Linked DNA regions of Caenorhabditis elegans. The protein of the gene in region 2 interacts with the protein of the main gene of each other region in a pairwise test. Each region holds a gene or a part of one and is shown on either strand. Other genes may lie near its edges.

The links. Proteins that work in one complex are often made in the same cells at the same time.
Region 1: the proteins of skp-1 (region 2) and rpl-5 interact in a two-hybrid assay, tested with the Caenorhabditis elegans proteins (one study listed by BioGRID).
Region 3: the proteins of skp-1 (region 2) and inf-1 interact in a two-hybrid assay, tested with the Caenorhabditis elegans proteins (one study listed by BioGRID).

What each region holds. Positions count from the first base shown.
Region 1 is NC_003280.10:8,568,177-8,571,541, reverse strand, and holds rpl-5 (Large ribosomal subunit protein uL18), read right to left. Parts: upstream 1,616-3,365; 5' UTR 1,610-1,615; coding exon 1,421-1,609; intron 1,369-1,420; coding exon 1,186-1,368; intron 1,141-1,185; coding exon 802-1,140; intron 754-801; coding exon 583-753; 3' UTR 556-582; downstream 1-555. Other genes in the region: bcs-1 (Mitochondrial chaperone BCS1), read right to left, coding at 1-175, 220-446; col-38 (Cuticle collagen 38), read left to right, coding at 2,473-2,610, 2,739-3,365. UniProt on the Caenorhabditis elegans protein: Component of the ribosome, a large ribonucleoprotein complex responsible for the synthesis of proteins in the cell.
Region 2 is NC_003283.11:11,643,870-11,650,645, forward strand, and holds skp-1 (mammalian SKIP (Ski interacting protein) homolog), read left to right. Parts: upstream 1-1,611; 5' UTR 1,612-1,628; coding exon 1,629-1,648; intron 1,649-1,693; coding exon 1,694-1,850; intron 1,851-1,895; coding exon 1,896-2,981; intron 2,982-3,030; coding exon 3,031-3,127; intron 3,128-3,909; coding exon 3,910-4,037; intron 4,038-5,985; coding exon 5,986-6,105; 3' UTR 6,106-6,221; downstream 6,222-6,776. Other genes in the region: Chromosomal passenger complex protein bir-1, read left to right, coding at 894-1,016, 1,061-1,405; Transcription factor zip-10, read right to left, coding at 6,334-6,642, 6,694-6,776.
Region 3 is NC_003281.10:6,928,560-6,932,508, forward strand, and holds inf-1 (Eukaryotic initiation factor 4A), read left to right. Parts: upstream 1-1,574; 5' UTR 1,575-1,577; coding exon 1,578-1,640; intron 1,641-1,689; coding exon 1,690-1,962; intron 1,963-2,046; coding exon 2,047-2,466; intron 2,467-2,518; coding exon 2,519-2,770; intron 2,771-2,825; coding exon 2,826-3,026; 3' UTR 3,027-3,394; downstream 3,395-3,949. Other genes in the region: flap-1 (Leucine-rich repeat flightless-interacting protein 2), read right to left, coding at 1-117, 165-251; Cell adhesion protein byn-1, read left to right, coding at 3,446-3,595, 3,665-3,777, 3,825-3,930. UniProt on the Caenorhabditis elegans protein: ATP-dependent RNA helicase which is a subunit of the eIF4F complex involved in cap recognition and is required for mRNA binding to ribosome.

The DNA.
Region 1 (3,365 bases), on a different chromosome or scaffold from region 2:
GACTTTGATCCATCGATAATCATGGACGAAAAAATGAGTTCCATGGCCAGGTAGGAATGATATTGATAATTCAGTTTTGCCACTTTCAGCTTGATGAACAACTGTATTCGCTGATAAATTCCGTGTTTGGGTAGCACTTCGATTATTAATGAAATCGAGAAGCCATGGATACGCTCTAAAATCATTATATTTTCTGATGGATTTCTGTAAATAACTTACGCGTCTTCGTTATTAATTTGAAGATTGATCATAAAACGCCTACGAAAATACGTGTTGCTGATTTGAGCTGTCCTCCGCAGAAAGCTCATTGCTATTCCTATTCCCGCTAGACCAGCTCCCGCATTAAAATACGGGTTTTGATTCAAATTGTCATACAAATCGGAGAAAAAGGAAGAGTCTTTTGATGGGCCTGGTTTTTTATCGGAAACGACAGGATTTTCCGACATCTTAACTTTAACTGAAATTTAGACTTCAAAAATCAAGAAATCCAATGTATAATTTTATCGTACTCGAACAAATTGTAACAAAACTCGAGACTGTCAACAAATACATTCATTTGAAAACGAAATAACAAAAAGAGAGTTACTCCTGTTGCTCCTTGAGTTGGAGAAGAAGGGCCTTCTTGTCGGCAACACGTTGCTTTCTCTCGTCATATGTGAGCCTCTTGGCGGTGTGTCTCTTGGATGGCTTGGCAGCCTTCTTTGCGGCTGGAGAGGCATCAGCACGGATGGCGGAGTGGACCTTTTGATAAGTCTGAATATTTTAAACATTGGTTACAAAAATAGGAATAATTCAACTTACGGCAACAAGGTTATCGGCGTTCAATCCAGCGGCAAGGAACTTGGAGAATTGGCGCTTGTAACGATCCTCATCCTCTTCCTTCAAGTAGGTCATGTAGTCAGCAACATGCTTTCCGAGAATGCGGTCGCGGTGGGCCTCAGCATTGTACTCCTTCGACTCTTGATCGAATCCGAAGAATCTGCTCTCACTGTGGGGAACGTTGATGCCTCCATCAGCAACTCCCTTCATCACAGCGAAGATCTTGGATCCGGTGGTGGTGCGAGCAAGTCCGATGTCGAGGACAGCCTTGAATGGAGCGCGGTCTCCCTCCTCTTCTACATTGTAGTCTTCTCCAGTAAGCTAAAGTATGAATTTAAAGTAAGATCAAATAGAAATACAAAATACCTCTTCGTGGCCCTTGTAGGTGGAGTCAAGTCCGATGGTCTTCAAGTGACGACGGGCAAGAAGAAGTCCGGTGGCGTAAGCAGCGGCGTAGTTGGTAAGTCCGACCTTGAGTCCGTAACGTGGAAGTTCGTGGGAGTAAGCCGAAGCGACAACGACGTCTCCTTCGATCTTGGAGTAAGCGAGCTGAAACACTTAAATTAATATATTCTACATTTGAAATTAATGAAAACCTTACCTGAGCGACAACATCCTTGTTTGTGATGCGGACGATCAAACGGTACTTTGGGGTGTTGTACTTGTTCTTGTCCTGGACGGTAAGACGCTTTCTGGCATAGTAGTCAGTCTTTCCCTCACGTCTACGTCTCAGCTTGACCTGGTAGCGCTTGAAGTAGGCCTTGTTTTTAATGACCTTGACGAGACCCATGTTCTTCTGCAATATTATATTTTTAAAACTATCCTGTATAGAAAGAGAGAAACGAAACGATTATCGGGAAGAAACCAAGCTTATTTTCGAAGGAAACGGGAAGTTCTAGCGTTCGCCATTAGCAAAAAATGACTAACAAAAATAATATTACGAGTGAACAATGAAACTCTCAAAGATGGCGGAATTTCAAGCAAAGAAAACGATAAATATTCGAAAAAATCGAAAAAGTGTAGACAGTGACTTTAAAAATCGATAAATCAGTGTAATCTTATTTTTTGTTTAATTTTATTTTAAAAAAATCGTGAAAAGCACTGAAAAATCAAAAAAAGAATAGAAAATTTTTAGGACAACACAAATTTGCTTCAAGTCCGCAATCAGACGCGAGTTGATGGTGTGCGTACACCGCCACTGCACACATAAAGTTTGATGCGCAGGCGCGGGAATTCAAACAGCAAGGGTACGGTAGGCATCGCTTCCAAACGAGAAAACGTTGTGAATTAACTTCAAAATATAAGTTTTTAGTAGGGAAACAGACAGAAAACAAATCGTATATGAATTGAGATATTAAAAAACCAATTTTAATGCAAATCAGAAAAAAAAACACTCAAGAAGATTATCCGGCAATGAAAAATGGACGGAAAAGCAGGTTTTCCTTATCACTAATGGTTTTTTGCACCAAAAACTTAGAAACAATTTCCCATACGGTCCTAACTTTTTATTCGATTCTTCGCGCTGTCGAAAAAAGTGGATTCGCTTCCAGTACCGTCACGCATCTCTCTCAAGTTCACATTATATCTCACCACGAACGTCTTCACTATTAAAATGAATCGTTTCCTGATGGAACACTCAGACATCGTCTAAAAATGTCAAAATATTTGGTTCCCGTTTGTGCTTCTATTTCGCTGGTTGCCGTTTTTGGCGCCCTTGTCGCCATGCATTCCATTGTTGTCGATATTGACACGATGAGAGAAGAAATTGTAACTGGAGTCCATGACATGAAGGTTGGTAATTATGATAAACCTGTTAGTATTTATATTTAAAGTATTAGTTTTTTATAAATCTATGAGTTATAGTCAACTTGGACTCCGAAAGGATTCAACTGGATATGCCTATAAAAAACTGTTTTCAGGTGATGTCTGATGATGCATGGAATCGTATGATTGGATTCACCAAGCCATCTCTTGATTCTGAATCCCGCAGTGCCGCTTTCGCCAGCGTTTTCCGTAACAAGCGTTCTGCTTATCCATCTCAATGTAATTGTGATGCCAACTCTCAAGGATGCCCACCAGGACCACCAGGACCACCAGGACTTCCAGGAGGACGTGGAGATCAAGGACCATCTGGAGATAAGGGACGTGATGGAGCTTCTGGAGTATCTCTGGCTGTTACCCATCATCTTCCAGGAGGATGCATTCAATGCCCACAAGGACCACCAGGAGAAACTGGACCAGACGGAGATATTGGAGAGCCAGGATTCCCAGGAGCATCTGGATCTGCAGGACAATGTGGAGAAGATGGAGCTCCAGGAGAGGCCGGAATCACTGGAGAACAAGGACCACAAGGAGAGCCAGGAACTGAAGGATCTGAAGGACCAACTGGACAAGATGGAACTATTGGAGGACCAGGACTTCCAGGACAACCAGGAACTCCAGGATGGCCAGGATCTCAAGGAGAACCAGGAAAGAACGGAGATTCTGGAGTTGATGGAGAGCAAGGACCACAAGGACCACAGGGACCAGATGGACAACCAGGACGT
Region 2 (6,776 bases):
ACTGATACGCAAAAATTGTCCGAATTGTACTCATATTTTGCCAATTTTGACTTGTTATACCAAGTCTGTAAGAGTTTTCCTAATTTTTAGAACGATTTTATAATGCAAATTTTAAATTCCTAAAAATAGGGAACAAATGGAGGGGTGCAAAACTATTAGAGGTGCAAAACTAATAGAGCGTGCAAAACTAATTTTCGATTAGTGATTTTAGATGCAAAACTAATGGAGGTGCAAAACTAATAGAGGTGCCTAACTATTTAATAGAGGAAATACGGTAAATTTCAGTTTTAGCCAGTTGAGAGAGGTTGAGCCGCAGGCTCGATCGACACCGTCCGGTTAAAAAGTTAATAGAATCTTTTTCCATTGAATCAAAGTTATTGTTAATTTGTTTAGTTTTCAACAAACTCATTGAGTTTCCTGTCTTCTTGGAGGTTTTGGTACGCGCGCACGTGCGCTCTACTGACCAATGGCCGTGGCCTAGCTTTCTTGGTGGCTGTATATTTCAGCGCGAAATTCGTCAGTGCGACGCGAGCTACATTTATTGATTTTTCAACATTTTATTCGATAAATGTTTTCTGAGATTTGTTTTTCATTTATATTTAAATACACACTGAAAAAATAAAACCACGTGGCGTGGATGCGCGAATTTCATGAAATTAAACTTCATTTTCGAAATCTATTAAAATACGCCACGAAGTTTTATTATTTTCAATGTAAGTCTCGTTTTATCTTTTCCTTTTATCAATCGATTTCAACGCTTTCAACTTATTTTTTTGGAATTGTGGTTTTTAGTTCAAATCTTCTTAACTGTATTTCGAATTTTTAATCTCTACCTGTTCGAAATAGATTCCTCAAGATTAAGATACCTAGTTGTTTTTCATTGATTTCAGAAAATGGCACCCGGGACCAAAAAAAAGTCGGATATGGCAAAATTCACATTCTACAAAGATCGCTTGATGACATTCAAAAATTTCGAATATGATAGAGACCCGGATGCAAAATGCACGTCTCAAGCGGTTTGTCCATTTTCGTGTTTTAAATAAAATTATTCTTGTTTTAGGTTGCTCAAGCCGGATTTTACTGCACCGGTCCTCAGTCTGGCAAATGTGCATTTTGCAACAAGGAACTTGATTTTGACCCAGAAGACGATCCGTGGTACGAGCACACGAAACGTGATGAACCGTGCGAGTTTGTACGGATTGGAAAGCTCGATGACTCGGAATTAACTATTAACGATACCGTTCGTCTCTCACAAACCGCCATGATTATGACTAAACTCTTTGAGCATGAGATGATGATAAATAATTTGTCTAATCATTCTTCTTCTGATGCTCTCTTCGATCAGCTGAAAAAAGTACCGAACACAGCATCGACAACAAAATCTAACAGCCGCCGCGGCAAATAATTTTTCTACATCACTTACTGCAACTTATCCAATTATTGATTTGATCTCATATACTCGATTTAATCACTGTTCAATAAACACTTAATTCATTATTTTATTATTCATTCAATGTTTTTGTTTTGAAATTATAACTTGTGTTTCATCGGCACTACAATATCTTCCAGTTTTGTATTTGATTCTTTTTTTGTCTAAAAAAACAATTTCAGGACAGTATTTCATCAGGATGTCGATGAAACTACGAGAGTGAGTGTATTTCACTGATTATCATGTAAAACCAATGTTTTTTAGTATCCTTCCTGCTCCTGTGGCGGCAGACGAAGCAGCTTCACAGATTCGACGAGATCCTTGGTTTGGTGGGCGCGATAACGAACCATCCGCCGCACTCGTATCGAAGGAACCACCGCCGTACGGAAAACGGACCAGTTTTCGACCAAGAGGGCCTGAAGTGAGATTGAAAATATTAATATTCTTCTTAATTTTTCTTTTCCAGGATTTTGGCGATGGCGGAGCGTTCCCTGAAATTCACGTTGCTCAGTTTCCTCTCGGATTAGGTCTTGGAGATATGAGAGGAAAGCCAGAAAATACGCTCGCCTTGCAATATGGAACTGATGGAAAGTTACAACACGATGCTATTGCTCGTATCGGACATGTTAAGGATAAAGTTGTCTACTCCAAGCTTAATGATATGAAAGCCAAGACGTGGAACGAGGATGATGATGATATTCAGAAACCAGACGATGACGCTGTTATCGATGCTACGGAGAAGACAAGAATGGCTTTGGAAAAAATCGTAAATTCAAAAGTAGCCTCAGCACTTCCTGTTCGTCATGCCGACAAGTTAGCACCTGCTCAATATATCAGATACACTCCAAGTCAGCAGAATGGAGCTGCTGGATCACAACAGCGCATCATCAGAATGGTTGAAGAACAAAAAGATCCGATGGAACCACCAAAGTTCAAAATCAATCAGAAGATTCCTAGAGCACCACCATCTCCACCGGCACCAGTCATGCATTCTCCTCCAAGAAAAATGACAGCTAAAGATCAAAACGATTGGAAGATTCCACCATGTATTTCAAATTGGAAAAATCCAAAAGGATTCACAGTTGGGTTGGACAAACGATTGGCTGCTGATGGACGTGGTCTCCAACAGACTCATATTAATGAAAACTTTGCGAAGCTTGCTGATGCTTTGTACATTGCTGATAGAAAAGCTCGTGAAGAGGTTGAGACACGTGCTCAGCTTGAAAGACGCGTTGCTCAAAATAAGAAGTCTGAGCAAGAGGCTAAAATGGCAGAAGCCGCAGCAAAAGCCCGCCAGGAAAGATCAGCGATGCGGAGAAAGGACGATGAAGATGATGAACAAGTCAAAGTTCGCGAAGAAATTCGACGTGATCGTCTCGACGATATCAGGAAAGAAAGAAATATTGCTCGTTCACGACCAGATAAAGCTGACAAGCTTCGCAAAGAGCGTGAAAGAGATATTTCGGAGAAAATTGTGCTTGGTTTGCCGGACACGAATCAGAAACGAACTGGCGAACCACAGTTCGATCAAAGATTGTTTGATAAAACCCAGGTTTCAGTTCCTTCTTCGATAAAATTTAACTAATATATTTATTTTTCAGGGACTCGACAGTGGAGCAATGGACGATGATACTTACAATCCTTATGATGCTGCGTGGCGTGGCGGTGACAGTGTTCAACAGCACGTTTATCGACCGAGTTAGTTTTTCTTGCTTATTTTCAAATATAAATTAAAATTAGTAACGGGTCTAGGTATTTTGAATGTATATATATATATATACCCACAATGCTCTAAAATGAACGAATTTCATAATGAAACGTTCCAGAAGTTTTTCAAAAAAAAAGTTTTATGGCGTTTTAAAATTTCAAAAAAAAACATTATTTTAGCTGAAATCTTATTTTGGCAGTTTATCTTATGCTATTCTAAGGTACATTTAAAATCGAAAGGTTACCGAAATTGATTACCTATGTTTGCTTAAAAAGTACCTCAATTGACGATATTACGTGATATTAAAATTTAAAAAAAGATTATAATTCAAAAAAAATCATTTTTGAACCTCTGCGACACGAAAAATTCGCCAAAATTGATTCATTTTTTCTAAATTTCGAACCGCCATAAAAATCTAAACGTTCAAAAATAACTAGAACCGTTAGTTCTTTAATATTTCAAAATTGAAATGATTTCCTAATGTATGTCTGAACTGAGGAATTTGTGACATTCTAAAATTTATTGTTTTTCTAATTCATTGGTGTTGGAATTCACAAAACTCTTTGATGATACTGATGTATTTGACTTTCATGTCCGTTCTGGTTCATTTGTCGTTAAAAATAGAATCACAACTTAGGTGCCTAGTATTTGATAAGACGTTTGTAGTACTGCAGTCATTACGATTAAAATGACGTTATGCAAATACGAATTTCGAAAATAATTGTATTTTTGTCAAAACAGGAAGAAATGACGATTTATAAAACTTTTGCAGGCAAAAATCTCGACAACGATGTTTATGGTGGCGATTTGGACAAGATCATCGAACAGAAGAATCGGTTTGTAGCTGATAAAGGATTTTCAGGAGCAGAGGGCTCGAGTCGTGGATCTGGACCTGTTCAGGTTAGTCAGTTGATCTGTTGTCAGAAATTTTAACTACGTTACTAAAATAGCTGGGAATTTTGAGAATTTGGGCGCTGGCTCGTTGTTGATGAGCGTCAAAAATTGACTGATAAGTAACGACGAATTGAACCAATTCGTTGATTTGTGCGGTCATTATCATAAATGGATCATTAATTTACGTCATTCCGAAAAGACACGCACAGCAGTGTGTTTTGGAAGTAGAAAAGATTCTTTACATTCTTGGTTTATGAGCTTCAATTGTCGTGCGTAATATGTTTGACATTATTGATAAAATAAGATTAAAATAATTAAAATATGTCAAAGTTCAGTTTTCATCCATTCTCTTTATGGTCGAAATGAACTATTGATGTATTTTAACTCACGATTAATTTGATTGTAAAAGTTAACCAATTTTAGATATTCTAATTAGAGTTATAATAAATAATTATGGATTCATCAATATTGTAGTTTTATACAATGCTCAGAGCTTATTGAACAAAAACTAATTATATCTTTTCTATCATAGCCGATTAGCTTTTCTTTTTACTTAAGTTCGGGATGCAGATTCTCTTCAGTTTAACACATAAAATGTATTAAATTACTTTACTGTTTCTAGTCACATTTCGAGCTGAACGATCAGCATTTTATCGAGTTGTGTCTACGGAGGCTGGTGTTTGCGAGCATCTTTCATAACCCAATCACTATCAGTACTTACGAAATATCACGTCTTATCACCAACAAGCCAGAAGCATTAGAACCAACATGTGATTTACTCTAAAAGTTGAAATGACTGAAATACTAGACAGAACTAGAGCGGTGTTGACTATATTTCGGTCTATTTTTAGGAAATGATAACTTTTTGCTCCGAATATACGTGTAAATGAAACAGCTCAAATCAAAATTTCACTCTCAAAGTGGCATTGTAGTTAAAAATACGTATTGCATTTTTTAACAAAAAAATCTTAGTTTTAGTTTTCGCTTATTATGAAAGTGGACGAAATAAACAGTTGTCCTCCCAGTTTTTATAGTATTTATTCGTATTTGGAAATTCTAGGGATCGAACCTGTAGAAATAATCGAAATTTATCAAAAAATTGAAATTTTTGAAAAATTTGGCATTTACTATATTGAAAACACCAATTTTTCAAATGTTTAAACCATGTTCATAGTTTAGATTTGAACAGGAAACGTATTTTTTTTCCGGAATTGTTTGCAGCGAACTCGGGGAGCTGGGTAAACTTTTTCGGCGAAATGGTGTTAATTGTAGACTAACATCTAAACTGAGTGATAAGCAGTAAGCGGATAAGCCAACGATCATCCGTGTCGATTTATAAATTGGTTCAAGCAGCGTTCAAAGGGCAAAACATTAGATGATGATGATGACAGAAAATACGATTTTCATGCCATTTTAAGAATGACAATGATAATTCTAGTATATTTCATGACAATATTTCCGAATCGTGATTGTGCATGGCATAGTTTCGAAATTTCTTACAAAGTTTATTATAAACTTATCAAGAAAATGATGACGATGCGGAATCGTCTAGAATTACAGGACAGACACGATGGCGGCCGATTTGGCATGTTTGCGTGTGACGATCGAATTGTTGCAGAACGCGTAGAAAATGCTATAATCTGGTCAAAGTGCATTTGATTCCAACGAAATAGTTTATACGCATTGAGTTTAACTGTGAATCGAACGTTATTGAAATTTAGAAAATTCCATCTGCGAAATTGAGTGTGTGGACCCGTAGTATTCAGAAATATATGTATTTACTGAATTATTTTTTTGAAACCTAATTTCTAAAGATTTCATAAGGAAATTGCATAAAAGATGCTCTTAAAATGACTGTGACTACTTCTAAAATTTACTTATCAATGAGTCATAAAACATTAAATGTCACTGTGCATTTATGAATCACTACAAAATGTTAACCTTTTTATTTCAGTTCGAGAAGGATCAAGATGTTTTCGGATTGTCATCACTTTTCGAGCACACCAAAGAAAAGAAACGAGGTGGGGATGGTGGAGACTCCCGTGGAGAATCAAAGAGGTCTCGACGCGACTAATTTTAATATATTTTTTATTTGTTTTCTGTTATTTTTTCTCAACTTCTTTTTTGGAAAGAATCTCTGTAACTCTTCTGTAGTTGGATGTTTGCACAAAGATGAATCAAAACCGTGTCAATTTTTATTAATAACATTTCGAAAGAAGACCAAATTATGTCAGCAAAGAATGAGCGAATTTGAAAAATTATGGCAAAGAGGATTCGGGAGAGGGGAATATTGAAGATGTTCTTAGGAATGGTTGATTTGATTATTGAGTTGCAAAATACTGATCAAGAAATCTTTTTGAGCATTTTCTTGTTGAAGACCACTAACTGCTTGCCGGAGAGCTTTTACTTCCAACTCGAGTTGCTCCTTCTCATCATGAAGACTTTTCACATTCTCCACCTTTTGGCGCATTTGAGCACGGTACTGGCGAGCATAAAGACGGCGATGACGCTTCTTTTGACTGTGAGCATCTTGTCCATCTGCAATTTCTTGTTGTGGTCGACCACGACGGATTTTACCAGGAGCAGCAGAACTTTCAGTTGAAGAGCATCTCTGAAAATACAAATAATATTACAAGATTTTGAGAAAATATGATATGCTTACCGAGCTGGATGTGGTAGATGTTCCCAAAGAAGCAGAACTTTCAAATGGCAAAACAGGCAGATTGATGCTGAATTGAGCAAGCA
Region 3 (3,949 bases), on a different chromosome or scaffold from region 2:
AGCAGTATCATGACGATAAGCTTCCGCATCTTCTTCAACTTTTTTTTCTAACAACTGATATCTTCCTTGTCGGGCTTGTTCTCGTGTTTCTCGTTTCAATTTCATTCGAGCTTCCGCCTAAAACTTTTAGTTTTTAATTCGAATTTTTCAAATTGTTAAGATACCTCTCTGGAAATTTTGTCTAATGCTCTTTCTTCGGCTTCTGATCGGGTGATAGGTCGCCGGCGACCACTGGATGGGTATGAGCTCATGATTTCTGAAAATTGTATGTGTTTATGGTGTGTGCACAAGAAAGGAGAATTTGAATATTTTAAATGGCGAAAAATCAATAACGAACAGAGAGGAAGCAGCAGTGAAAATGAGTGTAATGTTTCCAACGCGCGTTGTGTCCGCGCGGATTCCGTCTTTCGAGATTTATGTCAATATGTGTGAGGGTTGAGTGAGGAGGAGGGAAATGAGGGAGAACAGCCTTCCGCAAAATTCAGGATTTTTATGGCCTGTGAACATGACAATGAATTTGATCTCTTTTTTTTATTTGATTTCAGATACCTTTTCTTCTCTGTATTTAATATTTATTCTTGTTCACAATACAAAACAGTCTACATAGGTCAATTTCTTCCTAATCCACGAACAATGCAGTTTTTGGCATTTAACCAAGCCCCTAATTCGGTGTCAACAGGTGTTTTTGAAGAGCAGATGGTGTTCTTCTCGTTTCTCTCTTATTCATCGCGTCTGGAACACCGCACGCTGTGCTCTCTACGGCTCTTACTCTCATTCGTCGCGCTCATTTGCCTAAATTGACCAGTCTGCTCGCTGTGCTCTCTCATCGTTCAACCAACATTTCTCACTTTCTTTATGAGGACCTCATACACACTCAGCCTTCTAACTTTCCTTATTATTTACTTTGGCTTCAAAAATCCAAATTAATTTTTTAAATTTCGAACCACTTTTAAGTGCATGTCACTGTCGTCAGTGTTAGTGATTACTCGTCTTTTTTTTACGCAGGTTGCATTCAAAAAACGGAAAAAGTATAGATTTTGAATCTATATCATTAAAATTATTTTAAAAATGAATTCAAAAATGTGTATAACCAAATGTACATAAAAATTATAAAGAATTGAATTGGTCAAATAAAAAAGAGCCATTTTTCTTCAAAAAAAATTGATGGTATGAATGTGCGCTCTAATGAACACTCTCTTCGCTTCGAGACCCGTCACTCTTGTTCGAATGATTTGGCCCGGTTTTGGGGCGGTTTCTTAGCCTCTTTTTAGATTTTAAAGCTTTTTTAAACGTTTTTTATGCTTTTCGTGTTAAGAATATATTTATTTCAAATGCTTTTTCTCAAAAAAACAAAGGTTTTTAGGTCGAAACTTTTCTTTCATTTCTTTTGGATGGGTTTATTCGAAAATTTTAGGATTGAGATACTGTATTTCGCAATTATTATTATTGAAGAACTATTTCAACACCCTTATCTTTGTATTTAATGCTGAAATACTTTCGAAATTTCATTTTACTTCAATTTCAGAAACTCAATCGCACTTCCAAAAGTTAATTTTTAACTTTTCAACCCACCTGTCATGACCGATGTTAAAAATGATGTGAACGTATCTTCGGTGGTCGATGCCGACGGCTTGATCGAGGTTAGTTAATGTACATAATTTATTATAATTTGAATACATTCAATTTTAGGGAAACTATGATCAAGTCGTCGAATCTTTCGACGACATGGAGCTCAAGGAGGAGCTTCTTCGCGGAATCTACGGATTCGGTTTCGAAAAGCCATCTGCTATTCAAAAGCGCGCAATTGTTCCATGCACCACTGGAAAGGACGTCATCGCTCAAGCCCAATCTGGAACTGGAAAGACTGCAACTTTCTCGGTCTCTATTCTTCAGAGAATCGACCACGAGGATCCACACGTGCAAGCTCTCGTTATGGCCCCAACCAGAGAATTGGCTCAACAGGTAAACTTTCTCACTCAGTGTATTTTAGTTATAGATTATTAGCAGATACTTTTAAAGAAAACTTTTCAAAATCTTTCTTTGTAGATCCAAAAGGTCATGAGCGCCCTCGGAGAGTACCTCAACGTTAACATTCTTCCATGTATCGGTGGAACCAGTGTTCGCGACGATCAACGAAAACTCGAAGCCGGAATTCACGTCGTTGTCGGAACTCCAGGACGTGTTGGAGACATGATCAATAGAAATGCTCTTGACACATCCAGAATTAAGATGTTCGTTCTCGACGAGGCCGACGAAATGCTTTCTAGAGGTTTCAAGGATCAGATCTACGAGGTTTTCCGTTCCATGCCACAAGACGTTCAAGTAGTCCTTCTTTCGGCTACTATGCCATCTGAAGTTCTTGATGTCACTAATCGTTTCATGCGCAATCCAATCCGCATTCTTGTCAAGAAGGACGAGCTCACCCTTGAAGGTATCAGACAGTTCTACATCAACGTTCAAAAGGATGTAAGTTTACTCGCCCAGTCTAAGAAATTGTTTTCATGAACCATTTTTTCAGGAGTGGAAGTTTGACTGCCTCTGTGATCTCTACAACGTTGTCAATGTTACTCAAGCCGTCATCTTCTGTAACACTCGCAGGAAGGTCGACACACTCACCGAGAAAATGACTGAAAATCAGTTCACAGTCTCTTGCCTCCACGGAGACATGGATCAAGCTGAGCGTGATACAATTATGCGAGAGTTCCGTTCAGGATCTTCCCGTGTTCTCATCACCACAGACATCTTGGCTCGTGGTATTGACGTACAACAGGTAAGTATAAATATTTGTGTTTATAATTCAATACTATGGAATGTATATATTTTAGGTCTCACTTGTTATCAACTATGATCTCCCATCCAATCGTGAGAACTACATCCATCGTATCGGACGTTCTGGACGTTTCGGTCGTAAGGGAGTTGCCATCAACTTCGTCACCGAGAACGATGCTCGTCAGCTCAAGGAAATTGAAAGCTACTACACCACTCAAATCGAAGAGATGCCAGAATCAATCGCTGACCTCATCTAAATTTTAATCCAATTCCGATCCCCTCCACGATTGTTCCACACGCTTTTCCCTTCCTCTTGTTTCCTCATATTTATCCATGTTATCTGTTTTCTCCTCCACCCCCACCGTCCCACATTTTTATTTTATGCGTGATTTCATCTTTTTAATCACCCCTTTTTAGTACTGGCCCTATCCCATCCAACTTGGTTCAAACATTCTAATTCTCTTTCAATTTAGAGTTTAGTATTGCCCCCTAAAAGTTATAGAGCCACCTTGGTTTTGTTTGACAAAATGTTTTTGTCTGGCGTTCTCTTTTTCTGGAAAATAATGAAATTGCGTATGTTACATTCATTTTAAATCTTATGAACAGGCTTCTGATCCTTTCAGAATATATTGAACACCGTAATTCTGCTAATTTTTAATTATGAATTTCCAGTAACATGGTGAAAAGGAATTTGAAAGGAAGGGGTGACAAATTATCAGCCAATGCTCCACTGGATAACCAGTTGGAAGCTGGTAAAGTTGCAAAGCAACGAGATGAGCTTCGCGAAAAGCAGAAGAGAAAAAGGGAAGACTCGCAGACAGACGAGGTCAGTAAATATTCAGGGAAAATTAAATATTATTTTCATTGACCAGAGAGTTCATAAAATTAGTTTCAGTTCGTTCCTGATTCGCTCTCATCAAAAATCTTGAATGAAGCTCGTAAGCAGCTTCTCGAAGAGGCACTGGAAAGACAAGAAACCGAATCAGCCACATCTAGTGTTCCAAAAAGGTAAATAAACAATTTATCATAATTCAATGCAAGTATTTCTGTTACAGACAACGCGGAGCTTGGCTTGGAGCTGATGCATCCGGCGACAAATCGGACGATGATGATGATGATAATGAAGAAGAAGACGACAATGGATTTGAAGATCAAGTTGTTGTAAGTAAAATCTATTTAG